Linked DNA regions of Elephas maximus indicus. The protein of the gene in region 1 binds, or shares a complex with, the protein of each later gene. Links are inferred from orthologs where the notes say so. Each region holds a gene or a part of one and is shown on either strand. Other genes may lie near its edges. The genes, in order: WDR48, USP46 and USP12.

Region 1 (7,174 bases):
TATTAACTGGTCTTCCTTGTAGGCGTACAGATATTATCCTATCACTGACAGCGTTGTACTTCAGGATAGATTTTGAAACGCTCTTTTTGACGATGAATGCAACACTATTCCTGTTCGAGTTGTCATCCCCAGCATAGTAGACTATGTGATTGTCCGATTCAAAATGGCCAATACCAGTCCATTTCAGCTCACTAACGCCTAGGGTATCGATGTTTATGCATTCCATTTCATTTTTGACAATTTCCAATTTTCCTAGATTCATACTTCGTACATTCCAGGTTCTGATTATTAATGAATGTTTGCAGCTGTTTCTTCTCATTTTGAGTCTTGCCACATCAGCATATGAAGGTCCCGAAAGCTTTATTCCATCCACGTCATTAAGGCTGACTCTACTTTGAGGAGGCAGCTCTTCCCCAGTCATCTTTTGAGTGCCTTCCAACCTGGGGGGCTCATCTTCCAGCACTGTATCAGACAATGTTCTGCTGCTATTCATAAGGTTTTCACTGGCTAATGGTTTTCAGAAGTAGACTGCCAGGTCCTTCTTCGTAGTGTCTTAAGCTGGAAGCTCAGCTGAAACCTGTCCTCCACGAGTGACCCTGCTAGTATCTGAATACCAGGGGCATAACTTCCAGTGTCACAGCAACACACAAGCCCCCACAGTATGACAAACTGACAGACACGTGGGTGATAGAGCACATAATCAGACCAAAGAATCGCATGGGCAAGAGTCCATTGCATTACTTCTTTCACCGTAGAGTGAATTTCTCGGTCAGATGCAATATATCAGATATTATGACAGTGTATAAATCATTTAGTAAACACCCAGATGGCGATACAGAGCCCAATAAATAGAAAATGTTGTCATTTTAACATGTAATCAATATAAAGATTATCGACATGTTACATTCTTATTTTTATACTAAGTCTTCAACATTCAGGAGTATTTTACAGTTACAGCACATCTCAGTGTTAAGTAGATGTATTTCAGGTGCTGCTAGAAGTACAGGGAGCATGGGAAGGAAATCAAAATCTAGCGTAAGCGTCACTCAGAGCGGACAGATAGCTACTTCCTCAACAATGATAGAGGGCCAATGGAAAAATCTAGAGTTAAGTGTCACCTGGAGAGGACAGATAGCTACTTCCTCAATGATGAGGGAGGGCCAATGGAATCAACTTGCCCCCCGAGTGGCTGGCTCACCCTTCAAGGCTATGGGGTAAACCAGCAACTCGGGACTGGTCACTGCTGTTGGCAACTTGAACACTCAGCAATGGCTTGATGATCCCATGCATAGCTTTCAGTCCTGATAGCATCGCCATTTTGTTCATGATTCCACTGAGTAAGCACTGATCCTGAAGGAAGCCAAGTTTCATCCTCAGAGCAGTTTGTTTCATCTGTACAGCTCTTAAGGTTCATTCTAAGAGGCCAGTTACCATATACTTTCCCAAGTCTTCCTTGTCACCAGTTTGTCATGCTTGTTCTTCCGTGTCCTTGAACAGCTGGCCAAATGATTTAGCCTCTGTCCATGAATTGACTGTGAATTACTACCCAAGGCCATCTCTCCTTCCAGGCAAAGTGAACATCAAGATACACTCCTGGACATTCTGCCCATTAAAACAATTTTACAACTTCAGTGTTCTTCAGGGCCAGCCCCAAGGGGCGGGGCGGGGGGGCTACAACAACACAGGAATCCATTTCCAACAGGTACCAGCACGTTGTGGAGAGTAATGTACCTGCACAGTGCCTGGCATATCATGGCTACTCAATACATTTTTATTAAGAAAAAAAAATGCAGATCATGTCCCTCCCCTCTTAAGTCCTTTCAACAGCTTCCCATTGGCTTAGAAGACCCTGCTGGGTGTGGTCTCTGTGCTCCTCTTTGATCTGCCCAGCAACCACAGAGTGAAGGCCTGGCAATCTACTCCATAAAATTACAGCCATTGAAAACCCTACCGAGAGCAGTTCTACTCTGACACACATGGGGTCACTGTAAGTTTGAATCAACTCCAAGTAGTAAGGGTTTGGGTGTTTTTGTTTTTTCCCCTTGGTTGCTCTCTGTACTCCAAGACTTGGCCTTTAGTTCTTGAAATGTTCCATGCTCCCTTCTGCCACAAGATCTTTGCTCAGACTGTTCCCTCTCCTTGTCTAGTGAACTACAGCCTTTAGATCCTGGCTCAAGGATCCCTTCCTGCTGTACAGCTCTTTCTTCAGTACTTATCTCCACATTCATTTATACGTTTGTTTAATTAATCCCTGTCTCACCATGGAACTCTAAGTCCTATGGCTAATGTGCACTCACCACTGAACCCCCAGCACCAAATACAGGGCTGGGCACTTAATAGATGCTAATAAATGTTTTGAATGTATACATGGATAAATGAATCAATGAGTCTGTAATAAAATGCAGTCCATGTAATTTATCTACAAGTTATCACCGCCAATTTTGCCTAACAGGCTTTCTGTCATCAGTTTCTGCTCCTCTAATTCAGATTTCTTTACCGATTTTTTAAAAAGGCATTTGCCAGGAGGTTCCCTAAGCATTATTTATACATTAGCACTATGCAATAGAGAAGAAGTCCTGGTGGCACAGTGATTAAGCATTTGACTGTTTACTGAAAAGTCAGCAGTTCAAAGCCACCAGCAGCTCCAGGGACCATAAAGACTACAGCCTTAAAAACCCTATGGGCACTTCTACCCTGTTCTTGAACAACTGGCCAATTTAGCCTCTGAACCTGAACTGACCATGAAGGCCGTCTCGCCTTCCAGGCAAAGTAAACATTAAGACATGCTGCCTGATGGGGTCACTTAGTCCAATATTACAGCCTTGGAAACCTCATAGGGCAGTTCTACCCTGTCTATAGAGCCACTATGAGAACAGACTCAATGGCAACAGGTTCTGCAACAAAAATATAACATGAGCCACGTGTTATTTTAAACACTCTAGTCAAAAAATTAAAAAAAAAACACCGCCATTCAGTCAATTCCGACTCATAGCGACCCAATAGTCACATTTACAAATGTAAAAAATTTTAGTAACACATGCTATTTAACCCAATATATAGAAATTAATATTTCAACACGTGATCAATATAAAAAATTATGAAAGAGGTATTTCACATTCTTCTTTTGCATTGTCTTCAAAATTGAGTGTGTACTTGAGTTACATCACGTCTCAGTGAGCTGGCCACACGCGCCTGGCGGAGCCCGCACGGAACTCAGTGGACGGAGCAGTTCCACGGGGTCCACTTTCCGAGAGAGAGCTCCGCCACCCTCGGCACCTGTCATCGGTGTCCGGAAGACCTGAAGCTACACTTTGACCCAGAAGAGGTGACCGGGACGAGGTTCCAGAGCCGGCCCCGGCTCCCTCGGGCTCTGCAGACGTCCCTGGGGCGCCTTTTCTCTCCTTTGTGGGACGGGACGCCTGTTCGCCTGAAGACCGGCCTGCCTCCTTCCCAAGGGCGGCCGCTTCTCTCCTCCCAGGCCAGGTCGTTGTTCTGCGAACGTCTAGGTGCCTCCTTCGCGGCCAAGCAGTCGGCTCCCTGGCTGCCGAGGAGTCTCGCCCCCTACCTGGCCTCAGCGCTCTGCCCGAGGACCGCCCCAGGGAGCGTGCAAGCCGGGGTGTGGGGCCCCACGGCGGAATGCGCTTGCTGCCTCGGCTCGGAGAAGCGGGTGGTCCTCCGCCGGCGCTGTGCCCACAGGAAGGCTCTGCTTCCACGAGACCGCCGCGCGCCCCGAGCCCGGCCACGGCGCGGAGCCGCCGCCGCCGCCTCACGCACGGCCGCCGCCGCCTCACGCACGGCCGCCGCCGCCGCCGCCGCCGCACGCACGGCCGCCGCCGCCGCACGCACGGCCGCCGCCGCCGCACGCACGGCCGCCGCCGCCGCACGCACGGCCGCCGCCGCCGCACGCACGGCCGCCGCCGCCGCACGCACGGCCGCCGCCGCCGCACGCACGGCCGCCGCCGCCGCACGCACGGCCGCCGCCGCCGCACGCACGGCCGCCGCCGCCGCGCGCCCTTCCGCCGCCGCCTCACGCACAGCCGCCGCCGCACGCACGGCCGCCGCCGCCGCACGCACAGCCGCCGCCACCAACCCCCGCCCGAGGGGAAGGGGCAGGACATCCGCTCGGCCCGCGCCATTTCCGGAAGTGACGTCGGAGTGTCAACATGCAAGATGGCGGCCCATCACCGGCAGAACACGGCCGGGCGGCGGAAAGTGCAGGTATGGGAGCCCGGGTCCTCGGCCTCTCGGACCCGACTGCCCGGCCCGGGGCCGCCTCCCGCCAGCAGATGCCTCAGGCCGCGGCCGGCGGGGAGCGGGGCGGGGCGCGCGGGCCCGGGCGAGCGGCGGTGAGAGGTGGGGCCGCGGCGCTAACGGCTTGAGGAAGGGGCGGGGGCGGCGCGGACGCAGACTCGGGGCCCCCGGGGCGCGCGCCCTGGAACCCGGGGCGGCCGGTCGCCCCTTCTCCCGGAGGATCGGGCCCGCGAGGCGGTGGGCGCGTCCCCTGGCCAGCCGCCTCCCCTGCCCTGCCTTCCCCGAGGCGCTCTGGCCGAGGCCTGCGGGGCTTCCCGGTGGGCGGGCGGGCGGCGAGCGCGGGGACCCGGCGGGGCGTGACGGGCGGCGGGGCGCCGACGACCCCGGCTTCCGCGGTGGGGTCCGCACGGGGAGCCCCGCCACCTCTGCTGCCGGAGCTCGCTTCCCAGTGAGGGGCAGCGGCCGGCCGGGTGTTGGTGGGGAAATGCCGGTTTAATTTCGTTTTCAGCGTTTCTTCATCTTCATCGTACATCCCTGAATCTTTCTTTTCTATTTTTATGATTTATTATCCAAGGTGAAAGAATTATCTAATCATTCTGCGTATGCTTTATGCCTTCGTGAATTCGTTTTTATTTTGGGTAAGCGTAAGAGTTCTTGCTATTTTTTCCAGCAATGCAGGGAATAATAGAAGACCTATTTCAGGTGTTTGCCTGCAGGTATAGTGTATGCAGTAGTGGCGACATGGTACGTTAACTATTTGTCCAGCACTTAATTTGAATTCAGAAGTATGCAAAGGTTTGAGAAAATGTAGGAGTAAGACCCAGGCTTTCTTGACAAAACCCACCATGATATGTCGTTCTGCAGGTTGAAATCAGTGGGTGTTTAATAGTCAGGACAAAAGGTGCCTGCAGTAAGGTAACCCCAGGAAAAGGGTGTGAGGCATAAAGTTTTCTGAGGCAGTTCCACTCTTTGTTTTATTGATCTCTTTGATCAGGACGGTGTCTAAAGTACTCATTGGATATTTGTTGAATTGAGTGAAATTACTAAGAATCTAAATCCCCTGAAATCACGGTGTAAGGTGATCGTAGGTGGTGACACTGTCTCCTCCCAACTAAAATGTAACCCAGAATTGTAACTTAATTGTGTTGCAACTGGACAGCCTGAAGTCGTGGTATGTAATTGACCAGATGATTTTTCCCAGGGAATCTAGGTGGTTAAGTATTTAGGCAACACTAATCAAGAGAAGGAAACCCTGGTGGCGTAGTGGTTAAGTGCTATGGCTGCTAACCAAAGGGCTGGCAATTCAAATCTGCCAGGCACTCCTTGGAAACTCTATGGGGCAATTCTACTTTGTCCTATAGGGTCGCTATGAGTCGGAATCGACTCGATGGCACTGGGTTTGGTTTGGGTTTGGAATGGAGAGAAAGGCTTGACGACTGGAGGAACCAATAGATGGTGGTGCTCTTCCAGATACTGGAATGGTACACTCCATAGGGGAGTAAGGGTTGTTAAAGAGGCCTCTTAGTGCCCTTCGTTTAGATGTAGGAGGCAACTGTGAAAGTCAAGATGTGAAAGACTTAAGTTAACTGCCGTACAGGTGGAAAACTGTTTTAATCCCAGTGTGAGCCCACACAGGTAGAATGAGGGAGGTGATAGTTCCAGACTGCTTGTCAGAGTACAGACCTAGCGTTTGGGGCTGAGAATTGAGCACCTTGTTCTCAATAAGTATAGTAACCAGATTGGTGAACTGACTTGAAACTAAGATTAGCCTGCAGAAGAGAAGATTCGGGGGCCTTGTCAGCTGCTTTCAGAGCTTGTCCACAATGTATAAAAGCAGTGTGAGAAGCCACAGAGATTGATATTTTATCTCTACCTGAGAGAGAATTTTTGTTTGTTCTGAGAAGTGTTTTTAAAACTAGTGCACGTGCATTGCAAGAAACCTACAAATAATAAAAAAGGTATAAACGATAGCTGCCCTCCACTCAAAGAAAGCTACCATGAGTAATGCGATATATGATTCTAAACTAGGATTTCTCAGCATGAGTATTACTGACATCTTGGGCCGGATCCTTTTTTGTAGTGGGAAACTGTCCTGTACGTTGTAGGATATTTACCATCATCCTTGGCCTCTGCGCAATGCTAGTAGCACCCCCACACTTGGGACAACCAAAAATGTCTCCAGACATTTTCAGATGTCCCCTGGCAGTCCAAATTACCCTGATTGAGAATCACTGTTCTTTACCTCTTTGTGTACCTGACATACAGGATTTTTCACTATAAATGGAGCCATCGTGCCTGCTATTCTGCGTCAGAGTTATAAATGTACGTTACCATTGCCCAGTAATTTCTCTTCTGAAAACCTCTTCTGCAGAGATACATGTGTGTATACCTTTCTCTACTTGTGCAAGGGTGTTTATTGTAGGAATCTTATCAGTGTGAGAAAGTGAAAAAAATTTAAGTGTCCATCAGTGGAGAATTGACAGATTATGGTAACATGTCAAGACACAGCTGTTGAAGAGATAAGCTAGGTATGTACCTATTAAGAAGGAAAGGTGCCCAGAAGTCAAAAAAGCAAGTCAGTATAGTACGAACCCATTTCCACAAAGGAAATACTGCATTTTAAAAGCCTGGAAGGATACTGACTGTCAGTTACCACTGGGGGATTGGATTGTGTGATTACGGGTAGGACAGGAAACGGAGTCTCTGTGTGGTGCAGAAGGTTTAGTACTGGGCTACTAAGGAAGGTTGGCAGTTAGAACCCCCCCGGGGCACCTTGGAAGAATGTCCTGGTGGTCTACTTCTGAAAGGTCACAGCCACTGAAAATCCTACAGAAAGTGATTCCGCCCTAAAACACCTGGAATCGTCTCAGTGGCAGCCGATTTGGTTGTTTGGGTTTGTTTGTTTAAAATATGGGATATCTTA
Region 2 (7,060 bases), on another chromosome or scaffold:
GTTAGCAGCTGAACTCTTAACCACTGCACCACCAGGGCTCCTGGTGAATAAAATGGTGCTGGTCAGTTCAGTAAAATGTTTCAGGTAAGATAATTACCTGCTAAGTATCTCCTATGCAGGTGCCTAGCATTATGTTAGGTATTTTAGGTTTCTCAAAAATATGTAAAAAATGATTCTTGATTCAAATTTACCAAGGAAGATGAGATTAAGAAGACTTCTGTGGAAGTGAGGCTGGAGTTGAGCTTTGAGGACCGAGTGTATGTGAAATAGAAGAACTGGCTGAGGACTGGGCAGTTGTGTGCCTGCAGGCTGGAAGCATGGAATGTGGTGTGTTTGTTTGGTTAGGAGTCAGAGAGGGTGCGGGGGGCGGGGGGGCAGAGCAGATTAGGGAGGTGCTTGCAAACCAGGCAGAGAGTCAATCACTGAAGGTATTTTTGAGCTATTCAATTGTCTGCTACTTCTTCTCTCCTTCCCTTCAAAGCCAAACATGTTTTCTTACTTCCCTTTCACTTATCAACCCATTCCAATATATATTCTATCCTAACCATTCTACCCAAACTGCCCATTATAGAACTGAAAGGACTCTTTTAGTAATAGGCTTTGATGAAAGAATGCTTACATGAGTCTTGGTGGGTTACTCTCTAAGTTTCAGTTTTCTTTAAAATGGGGATTATAATATTACCTCTTTCATAGGGTTATTGCAAGTATTAAATGTATTAATGCATGTTAGAGCTCTATTCAAGAAGTAAACATTACTACTATTAATTGTCTTCTTTGATCTCTTAGCTGCATTCGATACATTTTGGCCACTTGCTCCATCTTGAAATACTCTTCGACTTTGGTGTTGTTGCATGTTTGTTTGCTTTTCTTCAACCACTTCGGAGGCTTGGGCTTAATTTTCTTTGGCTCATCTTCCTCCACCTGATCCTTGCATGGTGGAGGTCTTCATGATCTTATCATAGTCCCTTGTCTATTTTCACTCTGTGCTCTCTGTCTAGGCAATTTCATCTATAATCTCCTATCCTCCATCATCTTCTATATATTAGTTATTCTCAGATACTTATCTCCAACTTAGACTTTTCTCCTGAGCCCCAGACTTGTAAAGTCAAGGGCTTCTATTAGAACTATTCAAATAATTCGTGGTTATCTCAAACTCAACTCATCTGAATAGAGTGAGCTTCTCCCCAACCAACTACACCTGAATCTCCTCCTTCAGCGTTCACTAGCTGAAAACATGGGATTACTCTTCAAGTTAAAAACCTGGGTCTCACCCTTGTCTCTCATGGACTGCTGCACCTGAACCTTAGTGTCTGAAAGGCGAGAAAGCTCCCCAAAGTAGAATTTGGGAGCTGTTACTGCAGAATGGATGGCAGGCTGGCAAAAACAGAATTCCACCAAAAGTGATTGGTTGGCTGGAGTCATGCATCTCACACTTTCTGCTCACTTGCTTCAACTTCCTTACCACACAGTAGAATTTATTAGGACTGCGATGGTACCTGAGAGCCTGTGCTTCTAAGAAGCTCCCAGGTATAGCAAGGGGCTAAATCACACTAGTTAGAGTGTCTTCTCTCCTCAAACTCCTTTATTCTGTTTAGTGCCAGCTTATAGCCCATCCTTCCTTTTGTCTACTTTTCCGAGTTCTAACACTCTATATCTTCATATCAGCTGCTCCCTGTAGAGGAGCCCTGGTGGCACAGTAGGTAAGTGCTTGACTGCTAACTGAAAGGCTGCCACTTTGGACCCACCAGCTGCTCTGCAGGAGAAAGATATGGCAGTCTGCTTTCATAAAGATTATGTGGGCAGTTGTACTCTGTCTTATAGGGTCGCTGTGAGTTGGAATCAACTCGACAGCAATGGGTTTTTTGTCCCTATATGTGGAACACTTTCCTTCCAAGCTCTTCCATTAATTTGTCAACCTTTTCAAGATCTTACTACCTCCAAGTAACATTTCTTCACTGGGTGAAGCTGAGGTTGTGATTATTCTTTTTCAACTCAAGCCTCTTCCAATTTAGAACTGTGAATATGAACCTTGTAGTAGTGTAAAATGTATTTAATTATTCATGAGTCTGACAAGATACGCTGTGTTCAATTGATTTGTTGTGTATGTAATTCACTGCCTGAGTTTTTGGTCTTGATGTTAGTCCATGTTGAACACCTTGGTTTTGAAGTTGTTTTGTGACATTCCTCAAAATTTTAAACCTTTCTGGCCTCAGTTACCTGCATGGCCATAGTTTGGGTCTTGCTGTCTTCCCCTCCTCCCCCAATGTAATCAGCCAGGGTAGCACACCAGCTTCACTGGGGACATGATCTGGACAGAATACTTGACCCTCAAGCCTTATTTTACTCATCTGCAAAAAGGAGATAATAATGTCTACTACCTGATAGTTATTGTGCCGACTGAAGACCATGAATATAAAACACGGGTGATTGATAATGGTAAGAAATCAAGTTATCTTCATCGTTATCATTGAGTCGTTAAGGCAGAATGACTTAAAATAAGCAGAAAATGTTATTTCTTCAATTCATTCAAAAGTATAGGGCCCATAATGATACCCCCCTGGCTCCCCCTCCCCACACGTTGAGTTATTTCTATCCCAGGTTCTTGCTATATTAGGAGCTAACCCAGTGCCGTCGAGTCGATTCCGACTCATAGCTTGTGGCTCTCAAATCTTATGTGGATAATGCTAAATGGCTAACATAGGATAGGGTGATATTTTCTCAGTATGTTATCCTTGGTTAGGTAAAGGTTATTTTCAATTATATTAATTTCTCTTCTAATTCGATTTGTCATTAAGTATATGGGTTTAAGAATTTATCACCCATTTCACTTCTACAACTTCCCTTTTGAAGGCACTGAATTGCAACCTTGTATGTAGAATTGTTTCACACATTTGGAAATGTGCTTCTCCAATTCTTATGACTATATTTGCTAAGTGATGTACAGATTGGCGCTTTGAGCTGGAAACCATGACCTTTTATGGCAGGAAACGTGTAAAAGTCCATATGGCTCCTTTCTAAAAATCCAGAGAAGTTGGGTGCACCTGAGGGGGGGTATGTTTTCCTTGAAGATACGGAAAAATCTTGTTCTTATTCTTTCCGGACTCAAGTAGCTGTTTTGACAGTTCCCAGCCCATGATCAGAACTGGGACTTCTCCTTTGTACCTGCTAATGTCACAAATTGCCTGAGCCGCGCCGTTTCTGGCCTCCGCCCAGCCCCAGATTCCTCTCCCTTTTCGGCGCCCTTTCCCAGGCAGCCGGCCCGTGGCTGGCCAAGGCTTTCTGACCACTCCCATGTCCTGACCCCATTTTACTTCTTGGGCACCCGCCGGTGCCATTCGGCTAGAACGCGGGAGAAGAACGGGAAGTTGGACGTAGCACCCCTACCCCTCGCCTTCTCCACTCGTCAAAAATAAAAATGCGGGGCTGTTGGGGGTCGGGAGGAAAGGCAAGGAAAAGTGACGACGGAAAACGGCCCCCTAGCCTGCCAGCCTGGGCTCAGGGCGCCCGCCTCTCCCTCCTGCGCCCAACGCCTGGCGCTGCCCCTTCTCTCCCAGCAGCGGCGCAGGTCCCAGCTGATGGTCCGCCGCCTCCGCCACGACCCAGAGGACCGAGGAAGCGCTGCTGCGTCGGGGTGGGCCCGGGGGACCCGAGGCGCAGCTCCTGCAGCCGCGCGAGCCAGGGCCCGGGCCCGCATTACAGCCCAAATAGCGAAGCAGGAAATAAAAAGGAAGACACCGAACCTCGGCGGCCGGGCGCGCGGGCAGAGGAGGCGGGAGACGCCGGGCCGGGCGCGCGGCCGGGGCGCTCGGAGCGGCCAGCAGACTCCACGCGGCGGGCACGCTCGGGCCGCCCCTCCTCTCGGCGCCGCCGGCCACGGCCCAGGCTCCCTCGCTCCGCCACTCCCCGCCTTCCCCCTGCGCTCTCCTCCCCGCCCCCGCCGCCTCCCGCCGCCTCCTCCCCCTCCCGGCCTCCCTCTCCCAGCCAAACTGAGAGCCGGACCCCAGGCCGCCTTCTGCCGCCGCCTCGCCGCCCTCCTGCGAGCGCTCCACCATGGACAGTCCTGTTTTCACCTTATAAAGATGGCGGTGCGGGATCGCTGCAACCTTTAGACTAATGACTGTCCGAAACATCGCCTCCATCTGTAATATGGTGAGTGGCCACAGCCTCGGGGGTCGCGCCCGAGGCGCGGGGGAGGCGAAGAAAGGGAAACCCGAGCTGCACACGCGTCCGGCGGCGGGGGGCGGTGGAGTGGGGGGCGAGGGCGGTGGGTCCGGTCTGTTGAGCTTCGGAGAGAAGTTCCCGGCCCCGGGGCTGGGCGGGTCGGCCGCGGCCCCAGGAGCGGCCCCAGGAGCGGCCCCAGGAGCGGCCCCAGGAGCGGCCCCAGGAGCGGCCCCAGGAGCGGCCCCAGGAGCGGCCCCAGGAGCGGCCCCAGGAGCGGCCCCAGGAGCGGCCCCAGCAGCGGCCGGAGCCCCCTGCCGCATTCTCAGACCTGGGACCCCGGAGCCAGCCGGCGCTGCCGGGCCCCAGCCCTCGGGTTGCGGTGGAAACGGGTTGGCGGGGTGGGGAGGAGGAACCCGGACGTCCCGCGGGAGAGGGTTGGGGGATAAGCAGGGGTTGGGGTGGAGGGCACCCATCCTGTCTTTGCATTAAATTCCTGCTGGGCTTCCTGGCCGCCCTCCTCTCATTTTGAGTTCCGGCGTTAGACTGTATTTAAAATTCGCTTTGCAGCGGCAATCAGTTTATCCGGAGAAATTTGCAGTGTAATAAAGCTGTAAAAAAGTGCAAAATTGTGGTTAGGGAAGTGAACTTCAACCTGATTTGGGAAAGCTTGGTGATTTGTTCTGGCTGCCTCAGTTTCTCCATGAGTGAAAGAAGGTTGGACGCCCTCAGGGTGGGGGTGGCTGTGGGTGTGGAGAAGGAGGTCTGCAGGGTCCTCCTGCCTGCTCCAGTGTAGACCCAGTGGTGCCTGGTGGGCGTGGACTCAGCAAAGCAAAGGGACATCACTTGGGGCTCTGATGGGTTCAGGTCCATAACGAAGTGGTCGCTTTGTGTTTCTCCCATCGGTTTCCCTTCCTTTCAGTTTCTGCAAGAACATCATCCCGCCTTTGGGTCCCAAGGGTGCATTTTGCTGGCACCACTTGTCAGAGCCTTTGGGAGTGCTGCTTGACCCTTGGAGTGAGGCATTGCCCTCCTGTGCAGGGTGCGGGGTGTGTGCTTTGCCTTCACCCTCAAGGCTCTCCCCTAACCCTGACGTCGGCCCCCCTCCTCCCCCACCTGGGACATGTGCTTTTTTTTTTTTTCTAATTGTGGTAAATATATAGACAACATTTTCCATTTCAACAGTCTTCATGTGTCCAGTTCAGTGGCATGAAATACATTCATGTAGGCCAACCATCAGCATTAACCGTGCCCCAAATTTTCCATCATCCTTAACAGAAGCTCAGTGTCCCCTAAGACACATGCTGTTTTAACTCCACTTTTGGGAGAAACTCCCTTGAAGCTAGTAGTACAGGCCCCTAAAGAGAATCGGAGGAGCTTGCCTGAGGAGCCTTGGGGGTAAGGTGATCTGGCTGCCCTTCCCCCATCACACAGCTTTTAAGTCTTCTGTTTCACATTCTGTTGCAAGATCAACACATGGCATGGGAGCCTTAGAGAAGCATGTGTTAGCTCAGGGATGGAATTGAGACCCACTGATGCTGGCTTCAATTTTCAGCCTTGTTGGTCGTGGCCACTATCGTGGCCAGCAGAGCAAATACTGAGTCTTATCCAAGTGATAGCTGCCAAGGTGCTGGCACAGGGAGAGTAGATGTGGTGGGTGGCTTTCAGAGTCTTTTCGCTTTCTCTCCCTTCCTTCTCCATGCGGAGACGGGTCCTGGTCCTTCCTGTTGAGCAGCATTAATGTTGCTTGGTATAGTGAAAAGGTGATGTCTTTCTTAGGGATTTTTCTCTGCTACGATCCTGAAGGGAACTGTGAAACCAGAGCGGCTTGTACATGCTCTCATGCGACTGTTGGGGTGGCCTCAGGCCTACAGGGTAGGCAGGCACCGTCCCAGCGCAGTGGTGTGGTGACTCTTCTCTGCCCTGAAGCAGGATGGAAACTTGAAAGCTAGCATGCCCCAAAAGGAAGCCACCCTCCAGTTTTGTTTTTTTTTTGTCCTCAGTGCAGCTGGGTCTTCTTGGCACATCTGGGCAGAATGTCACAACCCGTTTCCAATAAAACTCGAGGCTCAAAGCCTCAGCCAGGGAGGACACAAGAGGAGTAGGCCAGTACTACCATAGGCCCAACATTTGTCCGCTGGAGAGTTGCCGCGTAACGTGGAGACCTCAAAAGGTGCCAAAGTTAGCATCATCACCCAGGTAAAGTGTGGAACCAGTAATTCATAAGAAGGGAGTTTTTACGTTCTAATTTAGCCACTGTTTTGAGCACGTGACGAAGAGTTTGGGCCCTGGAGTCAGCTTTCCTTGGTTCATGCTCTGGTTCTACTTACGCCAGCTTTGTGTCCTTGAACAGGTTATTCTCTTAGTTTCCTTATCTGTAAAATGGGGTTGATCATGGTTACTGTTTTATATGTGAGTATAAAATTGACAGTAACAGCAAAGACTTGCAGTGTACTAGGCCCTGTACCTCAGCAACTCATTTCTGCAGTTTGCTGTTATTGTCAATGTCATCTTCCTCATTGTTGTCTCACCTTCCAATTTTCTAAGGGAGAGTGGAGCTACTAGTATAAACAACCCATGTTTTCATTTATGCAAACCAAGCTGAGTGGCAGTGTAAACAAAGGGCTGGGGTGGGAAGCCCTAACCCTGCTCCTTATGAGGCTGCTCAGGCCACCCCTGCCCCTCTCAGTCTCACTTCCCAGAGAGGAAGGCTTGGTGATGAGGAGACTGCTGTCTTTCTACCTGATCAGATGGAAAGACTGTTGTCTTTCTACCTGATCAGATGGAAATATTCATTGGACTCCTTTAAAATTTTCACTTGATGAATTGTTTCCAGGTAGGTCTTTTATGGGGTCCTCCCAGTTTAACTCTTCCCTGAGGCTCTTACTGATCATCCCTCCTG
Region 3 (7,490 bases), on another chromosome or scaffold:
CAGCTGGGTTTGAATCCTAGTCCCATCACTTGCTAAATTTGCAAGCTTGGAAATATTCTCTCTGTGCCTTGGTTTTCTCATCTATAACATGGGGATAATAATAGTATCTACTTCCTTGGGTTATTTGAGGAGTCAGGAGTTAATACACATAAAGTGCTTAGTGGCACAGATAAGGTCTCAATAAGTGCCAACTCATTAGGGATGCCTTCTGTTCTTGACAGGTGCTGTAGAGTCAATTCCGACTCCTGGTGACCCCATGTGACAGAGTAGAACTGCTCCACAGGGTTTCCTAGACTGTAATCTTTACAGAAGCAGATTGCCAGGCCTTTTTCCCACTGAGCTGCCGGTGGGTTCGAATTGTAGACCTAAGCAGCCTAGTGCTTAACTGTTGTGCCACTAGGGCTCTTTTATGGATGTTTCACATCCCCCTTGTACCCCCCTTCCCACCATCATCACAGGTAAAAGGAGAGGTGGCAGAAATGTATGAAGTAGCCCGTGGCAAGCTGGAGACAAGACGAGTAAAGGAAAATAAGGAGTTTGTGAGGAACTGGGAAGTGCATGATTTTGTAAAGGTATTTCAAACAAAAACTTGTTAAATACACTGTGCTGACCACCCAGATTAAGCTTAGCCCTAGTCTGTTCACGTGCTGGGTCCCTGAAGGCTTTGGCATATTTTATAGTTTACACATTCTGGCAGGCTTGCTGGTCAGTCACACACATCCGCCTTAGGCAAAAGGGGGCTCTTTGTAAAGTTGATACAGTTGCCCGTAAAAACTGTGTTCCACCAACTGCTCTGACAGGTATCACAATAGAGGGTTCTGGACAGAGCAGGAGACAAATGTAGAACAAAATCCAAATTCACAAAAATATGCCAGACCAGACTGACAGAGCCTGGTGGACACCCCGAGAATATGGCCCCTGGACACCCCGTTAACTCAGAACTGAAGCCACTCCTGAAGTCCACCTTTCAGCCTAGGATTAGACAGGTCTATAAAACAAAAACAAAAAAAAAATTTTTTTTTTTTTTTTTATAAAACAAACAACATGCCTGAGGAACATGCTTCTTAGCCCTAAAGCATAATAAAATTAAAAAACGAAATTGCCAAATCTAAAAAAAAAAAAAACACAAAAAACCCTGAGTTCTAGGCCCAGATTAAGTGTCCTGATTGCGCAGATGGTTAACACTTGGCTGCTAACCAAAAGGTTGGTGGTTTGAACCCACCCAGTGGCTCTGCAGGAGAAAGGCCTCGTGATGTGCTTCCATATAGATTGTTGTTGTTGTTAGGTGCCATCGATGTGAGGTGCCGTTGAGTGGGTTTCGACACATAGCGACCCTATGTACAACAGAGTAAAACGATGCCTGGTCCTGCCATCCTCACAATCATTTCATTGCTGCGTTCAAGCCCATTGTTGCTGCCATTGTGTCAATTCATCTTGTTGAGGGTCCACCACCATCAGTCAGTGTGTTGTATAGTGGTGGCTTGTGTGTTGCTTGGATGCTGGAAGCTATGCCACCGGTATTTCAAATACCAGCAGGTGCACCCATGGTGGACAGGTTTCATTGGAGCTTCTAGACTAAGACAGACTAGGAAGAAGGATCTGGCGATTTAACTTCTGAAAAAAAAATTAGCCAGTGGAAACCTTATGGATAGTATAGATCACAACCTAGAAAACCCTATGGGGCAGTTCTACTCTGTCACATGAAGTTGGTATGAGTCGAAATCGACCCAATGGCACCCAACAACAACGGTGTGTGCCAAGTGTGGAGTTTCAGCCAAATCTTATCCTCAACTGCATTATAGATAGTGAAAACCACCCTGTACAGCACCTGGCAAATAGTAGGATCTCTCCGTTTGTGCCTCTCCACTCAACCTTAGGCTAGGAGACAGGTCATTGTGAGGTTCTGCAGTCAGGGTCTATGACATCACTTGCACATTTAGATGGATGTAACACCTACTAGGCATGCCTCCAGATGATTCTATCAGAAGTCAATTTAAAAAAGGCCTGTTTTCATATAAACTTATGTATAAAGTTGGACCAAGGAGGCCTCCATTCTTGTCACATTTTAGGATTTACAGGCAACTAAGCACGTGGGTGGGCAGCATAGATGGAGGCGTGGCTAAGCCTCTGGCACATTAGATCTGCTCCCTGGAACAGAAGGAGTCCCTGGGTGGTACACATGGTTAAAACCGTTAACGTGCTTAGCTGCTAACCTGAAAAGCTGGTGGTTTGAACCCACCCAGAGGCACCTTATAGGAGCTTTGGTGCAAAGTGGTTAAGCGCTTGGTTGCTAAGCAAAAAGTTGGTGGTTGGAACCTACCAGCTGCTCCACGGGACAAAGATGTGGCAGTCTGCTTTTGTAAATATTATAGCCTTGGAAACCCTATGGGGCAGTTCTGCTCTGTTCTACAGGGTCACTCTGAGTCGGAATCAACTTCGCAGCAGCAGGTTTAGAGACACCTTGGAAAAAAGGCCCGCTGGTCTGGTTTGAAAAAATTGGCCATTAAAAACCCTGTGGAGAATGGACACAGGAAATACAGGTTGGAAAGGAGGAGTGTGCTGTCACATTATAGGGAGAGCAACCAGGGTCACGTAACAACGTGTGTATAAATTTTTGTATGAGAAACTAACTGAACTGTAAACTTTCATTTAAAACACAATAAAAACAAAACAAAAAAATCCTGTGGCATGCGGTTCTATTCAACACACATGGGTTTGCCATGAGTCGGAGTCAAGTCGACAGTAAGTTTCTTTTTCCTGGAAGAGAACACAAAGTAGAAAGGATAGGATGCCATGGGCATTTATTAAGATGGGCAAGACGAACAGGCTCCAGAGGCATGGCAACGTCAAAGGGGCCCACGCAAGCCCCTGGGATTTAAGGAGTTTTTAGTCCTTGTACAAACGGGGTGGAACACAGTGAAGAATTCAGATGGGTTGTCAGGAGGCTAGCAGGAAAATAGAGACTATGGCAATTAGTTTTAAATTGGTGAATGATCTCTCACGGCTGGCGATGGAAACTGCAGTGGGCTATGGAAACTGCTCATTAGCGCCTCTCCTCAAGCGATGCCCAGTCATGCACCCTACCTGCCATGCCTTAGGTACCCCTCTGGAACAGAGCCCTACCTAAGCTCTGGCTTGGGTGTCAGCAAAGAGGAAGGGCCCCAGCTTCCATGGAGGCAGGCACCTGGAGAACCAGGCTGGTTACTATGGGACTTGGCTATATTCAAACCGAAAAATATTCCCCCAAACAAGCTTATAACGGAAATCCCTATGGAAACTGCATTTGTGTAGCAAATGTATCTTTTTCAACTAAATGTTGTTTGGCTGCTTTATTTGCTTTTTGAATACTTTTAACCTGTGATGTAAGGAATACCTGATTTTAGAGCTTTGTCTAAATTCAGTCCCTCTGCCCCACTGAAAAGGGGGAATCCCCCAGGAAAGCACCCCAGCACTCTAGTTTGCCAACCGAAAAACACCACCAGCTTCCTAATATAATAAAGTTATTCTACTCATTTGAACTGCTTTCTGAAATAGGAAGAAGTAAAGCTGAGCTGCCTGACATGAAAAGCAGGGTGCAAGTATGAATTTTGTAAAAATAGAAAAGAGGAAATATCCCACCCTCACAGGACATTTTTCTCACTTGCTGGCCTTACTGCATCATTCTCGCTGCTGGGTTGAGATCTTTCTTTTTTTGCAGTTCCTGTTGTCTAGAACAAATATATTTAGATACTGTATTTATAAACATATCTAAATTCAAGGCTAACGGGAGCCAGGAAGGCAGGCCCTCCCTTCCTCCCCTTTATCTTTTAGTTCAAAGAGCTAGACATAATTTCTCCTTTGCCACTTTCATTTTTGTCTTTCTCTGAGTTATGGGCTGAGGCAACGCGTTCGGGTTTTTTTTGGTTTGACCCAGGTAAATACCCAATATATGTTTTAAAAAAAAAAAACAACCCTTACATTTTGGAAAGTGCTCTGGAGGGTTCATCACCCGGGCTATCCTTACAGAAGCGGGTTTCCCCTCTTCCCACTCTGAGTCACCCAGATAAGCGCCCTGCTCTTCGGTTTCGGGGGCCGGGACGGGCCGCGGTCCTCCCCCTGCAGGGCTTACCCCAGGACCCGCGCCTCGCGCGGCCGGCGCCGGTCTCTAGGACCGCGGGGAGGCGGGGCGGAGTGCGGCGAGGCCCAGACCCCGCCCAGCCCAGGCGCGGGGTGGGGCCGGGCCGGACTTCGCCGCTCGCTCACTCGCTCTGCGGGGTGGGGGCGGGGGCAGGCGGGCAGTGGGCGGGGAGAGCGCGGCGCCGCGGGGGCCGCGCAGCGGAGCAGCCGGGCACTAGGGCCTCGGCGGAGCCGCTCCCGGGAGGGCTGGGCGGGGTGCGCGGCGGGGGCGGCGGCTTCGCGGGCAGGCGCGGGCCCCGAAGCAGCGGCTGCGCCCTGCGCCGGGGAGGAGCCGGGGGCGGGCGGGCGGCCGGCGGCGGGGGCCGGAGCCCGAGGCCGGGAGTGCCTGAGCGCCGGCGGCGGCAGCGGCAGCACAGGCTCGGTCCGTCAGGCCGCGCGGCTCGGGGTCCGCCCGGGGCTGCGGCGAGAGCGGGCGCCCGGCTCCCTCCCCCGCCCGCCGCCGCTGTGATTGGGTGGAAGATGGCGCTGGGCGGATGGAAATCCTAATGACAGTCTCCAAATTCGCCTCCATCTGTACCATGGTAGGTGCGGCGGGCGGCGGCGGCGGCTGCGGGGCCTAGCGCGCTCCTCGCGGCCGGCCGGGCGGGCGGTTGGCCCGGGCGCGGGGGAGGGGAGGCGGCGCCGGCGCGGCGAGCGCGGCTGCGGGCGGCCGATTAGGGCTGCGGCGGCCGCGGGGCGATTAGCGCCGGACGTGGCGAGTGGGCGGGCTCCGGGCTGCTTCCCGCGGGGCGGGCGCGGGGCGAGGGCAGGGGGGCGCGGGCTGGGCGCTGCGGCCGTGCGGCGCGGGCTGGGCCGGTGCGAGGGGCGCCGAGCGCGCGGCCCCATTTTAGGCTGGCCGGGCGCCGTGCGGGGTGGTGTCCCCGTGTGTGTGTGTCCCCGTGTGTGTGTGTGTCCCCGTGTGTGTGTGTGTGTGTCCCCGTGTGTGTGTCGGGGGCGGGGGGTCCCCGGCAGGCAGGCAGGCAGGCGGGCGGGCAGGAAGGGTCTTACTCCTGCCCGGGGAGAGGACGGAAGTCAAGTGCAGATTTTCTCCGCGCGCCGCGGAAGGGGGCGTCCTCCGAGCCACGTTCGGGGGAAAGGGGGTGTGTAGGAAGGTGGAAACTTTAACTAAGTGCCGTTGACGTTTTTTCCATTTTCTACTCTTTCCGAGGAATGAGCTCTCCCGTTCCCAGCCATGTGTCCAGGTGGCAGTCTTGTCTCTGGGAATCCACACGAATCTTGAAGAGCAGCATTTCCTTTCCTGTCATTTGTTTACTTTAATACACCAAACATCTGTGTGTGACTTGAAGTGTTTCTGTGCAGAGAAGGGCTGCAAGGGTTGTTGCGATTGTTTTCTCAGGGCTTTTAGGTGGATTGAAAGGGAAGGGTGTTAATGCCCGTTGAAAGTCCAGAATGAAGCAGAATGTGGTTGTGTTTAAAACTTGGTGTTTCTGTGCTTGGCCGAAAGGACTACAAGTGGTGTGCAAAATGGCACAGAATTTGCTTGGTTAGCTCCCTAGGAACTGACGTCTAGGGATCATAGTTATGAGTCATTCCCCCCAAAAGTTATTCATTGCAACGTGGGCCTTTCCTTCTGTTTCACGTCTCACTAGCCATTTGTATGCATCTGATTGTGCTTAGAGATCCCCAGGCCACTTTGTATCTGAGGTGGTTAATTTTATATATCTTTAAAGAGTGGAGAATCACATAGGAGAGGTGCTTTAAAAGCAGTCTACACTGCACGCTGAGAAACAGTATTAAAAAAAATGACTGAAATCATAATGTGTATTTGGGTAGCATCTGACCTCATATACATTCGTGCCCTGTAAGGTTATAATTGAGTTCAGAAATCCCGAGTTTGGAGAACCGTGCATAGCAGACGGGACAGCTTCCCACTGGCAACATGTGTATCTCATGCCTCTTGGAGTCAAGGCAACTGTGCTGCCAGATGTATAACGGTACAGAACATATATAACCTGTGCTACATGTGTCTTGATAGTCACAATAAACACCCATGCTACTGGCCTATGTGTGTACTGTACTATAGTTTTTATTGTTATTTTAACGTGAACTTTCCCTGCTTACAAATAGAAAGTTTACTGTGTAATAGTGCACACTTCGAATGGTAGGCAGCAGCTTCCAGTCTCCTGTATCGCGCGTCCCCTGAGTGTTGTAGGGTTATCTCTCTTTAGTTTTGAAAACATTATCAGGAAGTGCATCATGGCTCCCAAATGCAGCAAAAGCAATGCTGGTGATAGCAGCAAGAGGCAAAGGAGGACTGTCGATTTGGAAGTGAGACAAAAGGTTGTTAAACAACACCAAGGTGGAAAATCATCAAATGCTATTTCTTGAGAGTTAGGCATGTTTGCACAACGTCCGAAACCCCTAGCGTATTTCACAGAATATATTGTTGATACTAAGCAGCACGTGACAGGGAAGAATGAATCATCGAAGGATCCATTTCCCCAGTTGGATATTTGTTCTTTCTAACAGTGTACATTTTAGAAGAGCATTAGTATTAAAGGGACTGTACCGACATGGTTTTAGAGGATTGTTTGGACCAATTATTTCTAGATATGCTAATTATCTTTTTCTGTTGCAAAAGGACTGTGATAATGAAGTGTTTTAAAGAGAGAAGCTTGCCAAATTGCTGAGCTGCACACATGGTCAGGTCATAGTTCATTGTCAGAGTCTAGTGTTTCCGGAACTTGAGTGATATGTTAGTCTTTACTAATCATTCTTTCATTCACCTACTCAGGTATATATTTAGCATCTATGATTCGGAAATGGGTTTTGGTTAAGTGCAAGAAAAGAAGTCCTGGTGGCACAGTGGTTAAGTGCTAGGCTGCTAACTGAAAGGTTTGCGGTTTGAACCCCCCAGCTGCTCTGCAAGAGAAAGATGTGGCAGTCTGCTTCCATAAAGATTACAGTCTTGGAAAGCCCATGGGGGGCAGCTCTGCTCTGTCCTGTGACAGGTTGCTATGAGTCAGAATTGACACGACAGCAATGGCTGGAGTGCAAGAGGCTTTGGTGAGTGTTGAGGATACAGCAGTACAGCAATGATCAAGGCAAATCCTTCTTTCCTGGTGTTTATATTCTAGTTGAGGGAGGCAGACAGCATTTAAATAAACATCTTGCTAAGTGTGTGCTGTAATCAGATTAGGGCAGGAGGGCACAGAGAGATTTGCCAGGGTGGCACAGAGAGTAAAGCTCCTTCTGGGGCTCCCACCCAGGTGCATTGGTTGCACGTGTGGTGTGTGTGTATTGGCAGATATAGAAATGGCAGTGCCTGGCCAAATGTAGTTTCAAAAGTAGTATTAAAAAGTAGGTGTGTCTGT

The links.
Region 2: the proteins of WDR48 (region 1) and USP46 are in contact, whole or in part, in a crystal structure (PDB 6JLQ), measured with the Homo sapiens proteins. The link is inferred for Elephas maximus indicus from reciprocal best matches to the Homo sapiens genes WDR48 and USP46. Residues at the interface, in NP_065890.1 of Homo sapiens: Arg50, Trp77, Asp118, Tyr119, Lys121, Leu137, Arg139, Ser170, Tyr172, Thr188, Asp211, Asn212, Lys214, Ser230, Gly254, Trp256, Arg272, Ile364, Leu424, Lys425, Gly521; in NP_073743.2 of Homo sapiens: Arg181, Leu183, Asn184, Cys185, Glu186, Thr187, Cys222, Ser223, Glu224, Lys226, Cys232, Cys233, Ser234, Lys235, Gln236, Glu237, Gln239.
Region 3: the proteins of WDR48 (region 1) and USP12 are in contact, whole or in part, in a crystal structure (PDB 5K1C), measured with the Homo sapiens proteins. The link is inferred for Elephas maximus indicus from reciprocal best matches to the Homo sapiens genes WDR48 and USP12. Residues at the interface, in NP_065890.1 of Homo sapiens: Arg50, Trp77, Asp118, Tyr119, Lys121, Leu137, Ser170, Tyr172, Thr188, Asp211, Asn212, Lys214, Ser230, Gly254, Trp256, Arg272, Ile363, Ile364, Leu424, Lys425; in NP_872294.2 of Homo sapiens: Arg185, Leu187, Thr188, Cys189, Glu190, Thr191, Ser227, Lys230, Cys236, Arg237, Ser238, Lys239, Gln240, Glu241, His243.

What each region holds. Positions count from the first base shown.
Region 1 is NC_064845.1:1,148,723-1,155,896, reverse strand, and holds the start of WDR48 (WD repeat-containing protein 48), read left to right. Parts: upstream 1-4,125; 5' UTR 4,126-4,170; coding exon of another isoform or gene 4,171-4,218; intron 4,219-7,174. UniProt on the Homo sapiens protein: Regulator of deubiquitinating complexes, which acts as a strong activator of USP1, USP12 and USP46. Enhances the USP1-mediated deubiquitination of FANCD2; USP1 being almost inactive by itself.
Region 2 is NC_064823.1:109,100,012-109,107,071, forward strand, and holds the start of USP46 (ubiquitin carboxyl-terminal hydrolase 46), read left to right. Parts: upstream 1-4,010; 5' UTR 4,011-4,113; coding exon 4,114-4,149; intron 4,150-7,060. UniProt on the Homo sapiens protein: Deubiquitinating enzyme that plays a role in behavior, possibly by regulating GABA action. May act by mediating the deubiquitination of GAD1/GAD67.
Region 3 is NC_064841.1:59,199,161-59,206,650, reverse strand, and holds the start of USP12 (ubiquitin carboxyl-terminal hydrolase 12), read left to right. Parts: upstream 1-4,463; 5' UTR 4,464-4,649; coding exon 4,650-4,697; intron 4,698-7,490. UniProt on the Homo sapiens protein: Deubiquitinating enzyme that plays various roles in the regulation of the immune response and inflammation.